Linked DNA regions of Cricetulus griseus. The protein of the gene in region 2 binds, or shares a complex with, the protein of the main gene of each other region. Links are inferred from orthologs where the notes say so. Each region holds a gene or a part of one and is shown on either strand. Other genes may lie near its edges.

What was found.
Region 1: the proteins of Cct5 (region 2) and Dcaf12 are in contact, whole or in part, in a cryo-EM structure (PDB 8AJM), measured with the Homo sapiens proteins. The link is inferred for Cricetulus griseus from reciprocal best matches to the Homo sapiens genes CCT5 and DCAF12. Residues at the interface, in NP_036205.1 of Homo sapiens: Gly537, Glu538, Ser539, Glu540, Glu541; in NP_056212.1 of Homo sapiens: Lys91, Phe93, Lys108, His144, Trp186, Phe188, Arg203, Lys254, Arg256, Glu298, Val300, Arg344, Phe411, Tyr422, Leu440, Pro441, Ser442, Gly443.

Annotation. Positions count from the first base shown.
Region 1 is NC_048595.1:101,286,711-101,290,521, reverse strand, and holds part of Dcaf12 (DDB1- and CUL4-associated factor 12), read right to left. Parts: intron 3,667-3,811; coding exon 3,473-3,666; intron 1,954-3,472; coding exon 1,888-1,953; intron 612-1,887; coding exon 449-611; intron 1-448. UniProt on the Homo sapiens protein: Substrate-recognition component of a DCX (DDB1-CUL4-X-box) E3 ubiquitin-protein ligase complex of the DesCEND (destruction via C-end degrons) pathway, which recognizes a C-degron located at the extreme C terminus of target proteins, leading to their ubiquitination and degradation.
Region 2 is NC_048595.1:361,724,847-361,729,227, forward strand, and holds the start of Cct5 (T-complex protein 1 subunit epsilon), read right to left. Parts: upstream 2,981-4,381; coding exon 2,876-2,980; intron 1-2,875. Other genes in the region: Atpsckmt (ATP synthase subunit C lysine N-methyltransferase), read left to right, coding at 3,366-3,417. UniProt on the Homo sapiens protein: Component of the chaperonin-containing T-complex (TRiC), a molecular chaperone complex that assists the folding of actin, tubulin and other proteins upon ATP hydrolysis.

The DNA.
Region 1 (3,811 bases), about 260 Mb from region 2:
TTTGGTTCCCAGCAACAATCCAGTGTTAGGTACTGAGACCTTACAACCACTGATCAGAACTAAAACAAGTACTTTCTTCATCTTCTTGAGGTGTAGCTGTCCCTTACACTACATATTTATCATCACATCCAAAAGTGACCTCATACTCTTCTAATTCCTCCCCTAGTGCTGTTCAGTATATAAGAATTTTAGCTCAGGCAGGGACCCAACAAAAAGATCCCAGGGGAGTAGTGCTAACTAACTGCTTATCTCCTCACAGTGGTTCTACCAGAGGTTTCTACAGCCTGGACATTCTGTTGCCTCATGTATGTAATTAAGTTTCTCTCGTCTGTCACCAAATACTTCTACATGCTACATACTGTTCTTATTTGGAAGTCAAAGAAGAAACAAAAGGTGAAAACCCATTTGCAATGTAGCAGTAAGCCTGAAGGAACACACAGGGACTTACCACTGCCTCTCTCCCTGGAGCAGACAGACTTGACGTTGGACGATGGCTGCCGTGGATCCAAGAATGAGACATGCGCTTGAGAGCCCACTGCATACACTGACCATTCACTACCATAAGCCAGACATACATTCTCTCGACAATATGGCAATTTGGTGGAAAAGAGCTGCAAAGAGATACATTCATAACCAGCATAAAATGGGCATTCTTGTGCTCCTACCTCTGTGGGCTTCCTTTGCACATGAATTACCTACCTAAGCTAGTGACAAGACAAAGTAAATGAAGTAAGTTCTGGATTAGGAAAAACAGAAGGCTGGAATTAAATAATTAGAATGCCAGGAAAGGCAAGAACTATAGTTATCTCCAGGAACAAGCCCAGGGCACTAAAGCCTAAGTCTCACCTTGTTCATTCTGCGACATGACCACTACTCCTTGTTCTCTTCAGATAAAGGGACTAATTTCTAACCACCCTCAGCCAATTTCCCAAAGAAAAGAGAACTGTACACTAGAGACAGTGTACCCCCCAGGACTGACTCTATCCTAGTTAATCTGAGTCAGCCTGCATCTTTGACCCTGTGAAGTAGCAAACAGTGTCCGCCTGCTGTATGTAAGACGCTATGTAGGGCCAGTGGAGTGCAAACCTGCTATGACCCAATGGAACTATCCACTCCCAGAGCTTTGCTTTCTCTTTAGAAAACGCTTGTCACAGATATTATAAGTAGCGCAGACAAGACATGAACTCATGACCCACATATACACTTTATTGTATAAAAAAGCTGCTAGCAGATATTATTGATAAATCTGTTTTCTCCTAAATTGTGTTATTGCAATCTCAGCTCTTTTTAAAAGACTTTCCTGTGACTCTATCACTGAGGCTGAGAGAAGATCCCAAGTCCTAGACAAGCCAGGGCTACCTAGTGAGCTAACCTTTTAAGAAAGAAAAACAAAACAAACAAACATATTTAGATGCTGGGTTGTGATGTCACAAGCCTTTAATTCCAGTACTTGGGAGGCAGAAGCAGGCAGATCTCTGAGTTCCAGGCCAGCCTGGTCTACAGAGTGAGTTCCAGGATAGCCAGAGAGGGCTACATAGAGAAACCCTGTCTTGAGACATAATAAACAAAGGCCTTTTCTTGCTTAAGCATGTTGGTAGCATTCAGTATTTCCAGTCTTTGAGAGGTATTTTACAAGTGGGAAGATCACAATTTTAAGACTAGACCGGGCTACATAGACAGATCATGTCTCAAAAATAAATTTAAAAGATAGCCAGATTTTTCCTCAAGAGAAACATGCCAGACCCACAGCTTCATGTACTATGCAATTCTATTTCCAGACCTTGGGAGAAATGATGTTTTGAACAAATCCAACAGGACTCTGGGAGAATGATAGTATTATAAACCTATGGTAAATTATCATATACAACTACGAAGTCATGTTCACACCTTAGACAATGTATTTTCAGCCTTCCAGAGATGAAAGTAGCCATCCAGTGATACGGCTCCCAACTCCTACAAGAGCAATGAAAAAGAAGTTATAATATGATGTGCAGCAAACTAAAGCACCAGAACACACAGGGGAAGCCAGGCAGTGGTGACGCACGCCTTTAATCCCAGCACTTGGGAGGCAGAGGCAGGAAGATCTTTGAGTTCAGGGCCAGTGTGGTCTACAGAGCTAGTTCCAGGACAGTCAAAGTTGTTACACAGAGAAACCCTGCTTCAAAAAAATAAAAACAAAAAACCCACAGTTATCAAGGATGCTTTCACCTCACCCCACAGACTGCAGCAGGTAGTATATTCAATTCCACAAAGCAAGTGTAGCCTCTAACAATCACATGAACACACATCTGTGGGGGAAAATGTCCTTTCTATGTCACTGATTACCCCGACATCCTTAAAGCTGTCAGAGCAGAGTTCAAAGTGAAAGGCTGTTTTTCTCATTCCCAATGTGGGAGCTGTGGGTGCAGAGAGGAACCACCTTTCTTTCTTTCTTTCTTTCTTTCTTTCTTTCTTTCTTTCTTTCTTTCTTTCTTTCTTTTAAATCTTTTTTTATTTGAATTAGAAATAAGATTGATTTACATGACAATATCAGTTCCCTTCTCTCTCCCTTCCTCCCCTACCACCCCCCAACTAAAACCCTGCCTATCCCATACCCTTTCTTCTATTCTTCACCTGACTCAACCTTTCTGCTCCCTCATGACCTCTGCATCCTTCCTCTTCTCCCCTTCTCATTCTCCTAGCTCCCTCCCCCCTCTTCCAGTGCTCTCAATTTGCTCAGGGGATCTTGACCCTTTCCCCTTCTCCAGGGGACAATGTTTGCCTCTTTTAGGGTCCTCCTTGTTTACTAGCTTCTCTGGCAGTGTGGATGGTAGGCTGGTAATCCTTTATGTCTAAAATCCACATATGAGTGAGTACATATCATGTTTGTCTTTTTGTGATTGGGTTGCCTTGTTCTGAATTTCTTCTAGTGGAACCACCTTTCAAATCAGGGCCTTGTGCATGTGGTATACACACCCATGCACATATGCAGACAAAACACTCACAACACATAAATATTTTTAAAAATGAATCAAATTGGGACCTTTTTCAGATTTTGCAGAAGCCTGTCTCCTTTCTGGGCTCTGGGTCTAGTCTTAGGTCCTGTTACAACCTCACTGTCAGAAGACCTGGCACAGTGATTTAAGCGACACTAGTGGCAAGTGTGAGACAAAGGAAGCGGTGAAAAAATGAGGGGCTTACAAACAAGTGATTGGCTTTTAGAGGCGTGAAAATCAAATCCAAAGCAGAGCACCTAAAAAGGCACAAGCAAGTGAGGCACTGTCAGATTAGAGTGCTCTCAGGGAAACTGAACCAGCCACAAACATGGTCTATCCAAACAAACACAGCAGAGCCTAAGCCCGAGCTTCACAGCCCATTATAATTTCTCACCAGCATTCACGGCCTCTAAAGAGGGTGCCCTGTGAGTTTAAAGCCACATCACACAGCTGGCAGTGCCTTGGAGGAGAGAGGATCCCCCGAAATAAAGCCATACCTTGTTTTTGTTGTTGAAGGCTAACGCCCGCACCTTGCAGTTGTCTGGGTTTGTATCTTCCTTGGGGATATCCTTTAAGGCCTTGTGAGTGATATGAGCGTACACGGGGACTGGTGACACATTATGCCTTGCATCACTTTTGGTCAATACATCATCTGTCACCTCCCAGAGTCCCATAGAACCATCCCGTGAGCCTGCAGCGTAGGAGATTCACAGGTGTCAAATATTCTTAACCCTCTATGAGAAAACGCCACAGAAGATTACACAGGCTTTACTTTTCAACACACTGCCTGGCACTGAAGCTGGGCTCCATGGTCCACCACATATATTAGTATGCTT
Region 2 (4,381 bases):
GAAGGAAAGCTCTGAATGGTGGCTAGGAATTAAGTACCAGTGACTCCATGGGGCTCAGAACACGGAGACTGATGTTCTGAACTGCTCTAGAATTCATCTTCCCCCCAAACCCTCGTTAACAAAGAGAGACCACACTTAGCTGTGAGAGACACTAGAGCAAGGATTGGAAGTGCAGCTCATTGGGAGAGTGACAGAGATGGCTCAGTGGTCAGGGTCACTTGCTCTTGCAGAAGACCCACGTGGCAGCTCCCAATGGCCTGTACTCCAGTGATCCGATGCCCTCTTCTGGCCTCCACAGGCACTAGTGTACACATACATACATGAAGGTACTCATACATACACACAAAATAAATCTAAAATAATAACCCAAACCGACACACAGACATCTCATTATCTCGAAAAGCTGCTTTTATCTTTACTACATAGTGGAGTTACAGGTACAACAAACTTGCTTAAAAGTAATGTTCTTTATGATTTAGTCTTAGTAAAGGTTTGATCTGTATGCCTGTTTTATATACATCTATACCCTGGGTCATATCTAACCTCACAGGAGCAGTGTTTATGTGACCATCACCCATGGGAAGCATATGGTACTTTTGTCTTCTTGGCCCCCTAAGTTTGTCAGAAGTTCTAGGAGATCAAGGGCCAACTACATGTCCCTAAACACATTCCAAGGGTCAGACCCAGATCATGCAATTTTAACAACACCCATACTATCATCCCTGCAGGCCCGAGCTTTTGACCCCTACACTCCAGGAATGCAACCACAACTTCACTGCAACATCTGGTCTGGTCCATTAGTTTTCATTGAAATTCTTCTAACTCAGGAGTTAATGTCAACAATCTCCTCAGATCAGAATTTACATTACTGTTATCAAAGTATTAACGGTACAAGCCTGAAAGAACCCTCCCCTGTTCCCAGACACACCTGGCTCTCATTTCCTTCAATGTCCTGTTCTCTTATTCTTGTCACCACTAAACTCAGATCAAAAATCACCCTACAGAGTTCTAAAACCACGTCCCATCCACTTCCTAGTTGCTAATTAACTCATTTTCTAGAGTCCCTTAACAATTCCAAAGGTTTAAAAGGACTCGTGGTGCCTTAATACTGGAGCTCAAAAGCAAAGCACTCCAGACTCTCCCTGTCGCTCTAACTTATCTTCTCAGCCCCAAGGTGCAGAGGGATGTAAACTTACCACAGAAATCTTGGATTTTCAGAACTGTGCAAGTACGCATGTTCATTAATGTCTCTCGTCACCTGTAGTGGCTGACTACACAACACCAAGTTCATTTTTTTCTTTGCACACTAGCAATTCTTTGAAAAGCACCACAAGGAAATGTCTCTGTGCCCAAGGATACCGGACACCTGAGCTTATTTTTGGTTGCCTAAACAGGTATGTATTGAGCAGAGGCCAACAGCTCAACGCTGTACACAGAACAGGTCTCTTCTACAAATAACCCGGCCCTGAATGGCAAGGGTGAGCTCAATGCTCTAGACCACTACCCTCGATGTGACTGGAGGCAGATTGAAGTCATGGCCCTTCTCTACCTTAGTGGCTATGAAATCTTTGTCAACTTCTCTATGACCCTGCCGTAAGTGCCTAATTCTAGAAGACCTATCTTGAGTGAGGACCACATGCAATAGCCCATGTAGTTAGCACAAATGGCAGACACAGCACAACTGTTAACATTAATCACACTGGTAAAATCTCTGCCTGTTGGAATGTTAATTTGCAAGTACCCTGAGGTAGGTAGGTAGGGTGTGTGTGTGTGTGTGTGTGTGTGTGTGTGTTTGTGTGTTTGGGGGTGGGGGAATGGAACTGAATAAGCAATGCATATGACCTGAAAAAAAGTTCCCCTAGAAAGGAAACAAAACCAAGCTTCTACAGTTGCCCTGTCCACTTCTTCAGTCACTCCAACACACCTGTCAAACCGTTGGCATGACAGGAAGTCCACGTTTGGAAACTAGGTCCAGAGAGGTCAGTAAGTGGGTGTGTTATCTTTAAGTTTAAATAAGACCCTAACACAGGTGAACAAGAGCACCTCAGACCTGGAGGCATGACAGGCACACACAAAACCCAAGATGCAACTCCTTCCTTCCTCTGCGTTTTCCGTGGCAACACCTGTCAACGACCGCCCCCCCCCGCCCCAAAGACAGGGTTTCCCTGTGTAGCTCACAGAGATCCTCCTGCCTCTGCCTCTCGAGTGCTGGGACTAAAGGTGTGCGCCTTCACTGCCAGGCTGACATTCTTATCTGGGGTTCTAGCCTTTTAAAAAAATTTTTTTAAATCCCTTTCCTTCTACAGGATTTTCCCTCGGTTCTGCCTTCCCTTGGGATAACTTCTTTGTTTCCCTGTGATGGGGTCCAAAGAGCTCCAAACTTGGGGAAGCATCCTAATCTGCAACCAGGAGTGCGTGCGCCCTCAAACTGTCTCCCTGTATTCCAAAAACCACGTTGTTTCCTGGCCCAAGAGGATGCAATGTCCCTGTGAACGCAATGCTCTGGCCCTTGCAAACGTGTGTGTATGTGTGTGTGTGTGCGTGCATGCGTGTGTGCACAGCTCCTTCCATCGAAGTCCAAAGAGCTCCCTCCGCTGTCATTTGTCATCCCTCCCTCCCGATTGGGGGGCCGGTGGCCCGCTCCCCGGGTGAGCGGGTGGGTGAGCCCCACCAGGGCGGCAGGCTGTGTCCCCACCACCTCCGGGCTGAGGCCTTCACCACTTCTCTCGCGCCCGCACAAAGGGCGGGGTGCACGCGGAGCCCACTCGACCTTGCGGGCCTGCACGTGGCCGAGCCGCTCCCACGCCGGCGCAGGCGCACAAGAGCGCTCGGGCCGCCTCCCTTCATCCCGCGGCCTCGCGTGCCAGGCCGTTACCTTGAGGGCCTCGAGTCCCATGAGACGGGACTTGCGGTCTTGATCCTTGATGATGAGAAAGGGGCGCCCATACTCATCGAAGGCGAGGGTCCCCACGGACGCCATGCTGGGCGAGCTGCAAGAGACGCTTTCCGACAACCGGCACGGACCGCTCGGGACTAGAGAAGGCGCCTTCCTCTCGCGAGAGAACGCAAAGTCTCACGCGCGTGCGCAGCACGGGCCGCCCGAGATTTCTTTCTTTCCAACTGTGACTCTTTTAACGCCGCCGAGTACGCTCCGCCGCTCTTGGAAAGTTCTATCACCCAGGAAGTTGGGGGGGAGATTCCAAAACTCGGAAGTTGACTTTTAGAACCCAAATGCTAACACTGGCCTCGATCCAGCCACTTACTCGAGGTTTTGATTTCCGAGAGTTTCTGAATACGGAGTCGCAGCAGGGAGTTAATTTCCCTAAGACGTTTTTCCCTTTTATTCCCACCCCGGCTTCTGGAAGATGGTACGTTCCACTTCCGGTATCCCCGGAAGTTTCGCGATGGAGAGAGGAGGTGAGGTTCGGTCGGCAAGGCGGCGGCGGCGGGTTCCTCCGCTGGCTGGCTGTGGTCGTGCGTGGGTGGGGCACGGGTGAGCGGCCGGCAGCGGGCGTGGTCGCGGGCGCCCGTGGGTGGGGCGCGGGTGCGCGACCGGCAGCGGGCGTGGTCGCGGCCGCGCGCGGATGGGGCGCGGTCTGCGCCTGCGCCGTCCTGCACGCCCCTGACGGTTGCTCACTCATCCCGACCCCGAGACTCCAGGCTGCTGGACTTCCGGCGCTGTCGTGGACTAGCTTTTTCTTTGAAGTCACTGGGCCTGCAGTTTTGCCTTGTCTGCAAACATAGCAGTAATAAGTGCTGCCTACTTGACAGGGCCGTTGAGGAAGCACAGTGCCTGCTCGTCAGCACGCAGTATTTTTTGTATTTAATCATGCATGCGGTGCTCTGTCTGCAGCATATATTCCAGCAGGCCAGAAGAGGGCACCAGATCTCATTACGGATAGTCGTGAGCCACCATGTGGTTGCTGGGAACTGAACTCAGAACCTCTGGAAGAGCAGCCAGTGTGCTCTTAACCTGCTGAGCCGTCTCTCAGCCCCAGCAGTATGTGTGTTCTTAGCTCCCCACGTTATACGGGTCCTGCGACTTGCCCGCGGGTAGACTGCTAGGTGGAGACGATGCAGCACTCCCGGCCTTGGGTTCTGTCTCTTAATCCCCGGCGTGTTGCTGTTAGAACGCTAATTGAGCTGTGCATAGGCCCGAAATCGCCATCCATTGTATAAGCTTGGATTGGTTACAGATTTCCACCCTTTCTACCTGTACTGTCTGTCTCTGCTGTATTATCGAGTTTTATTAGGTACTTACTCAAAATTAGAATGCGTGCAACAGCACAGACCTGAAAACCTGCCTGCTGTCACACAGTTGCTGATTTGTTAATCTTGCCTAATGCCAAGTCCTCTGTCTCCTAGACTCAGTGATACGGCT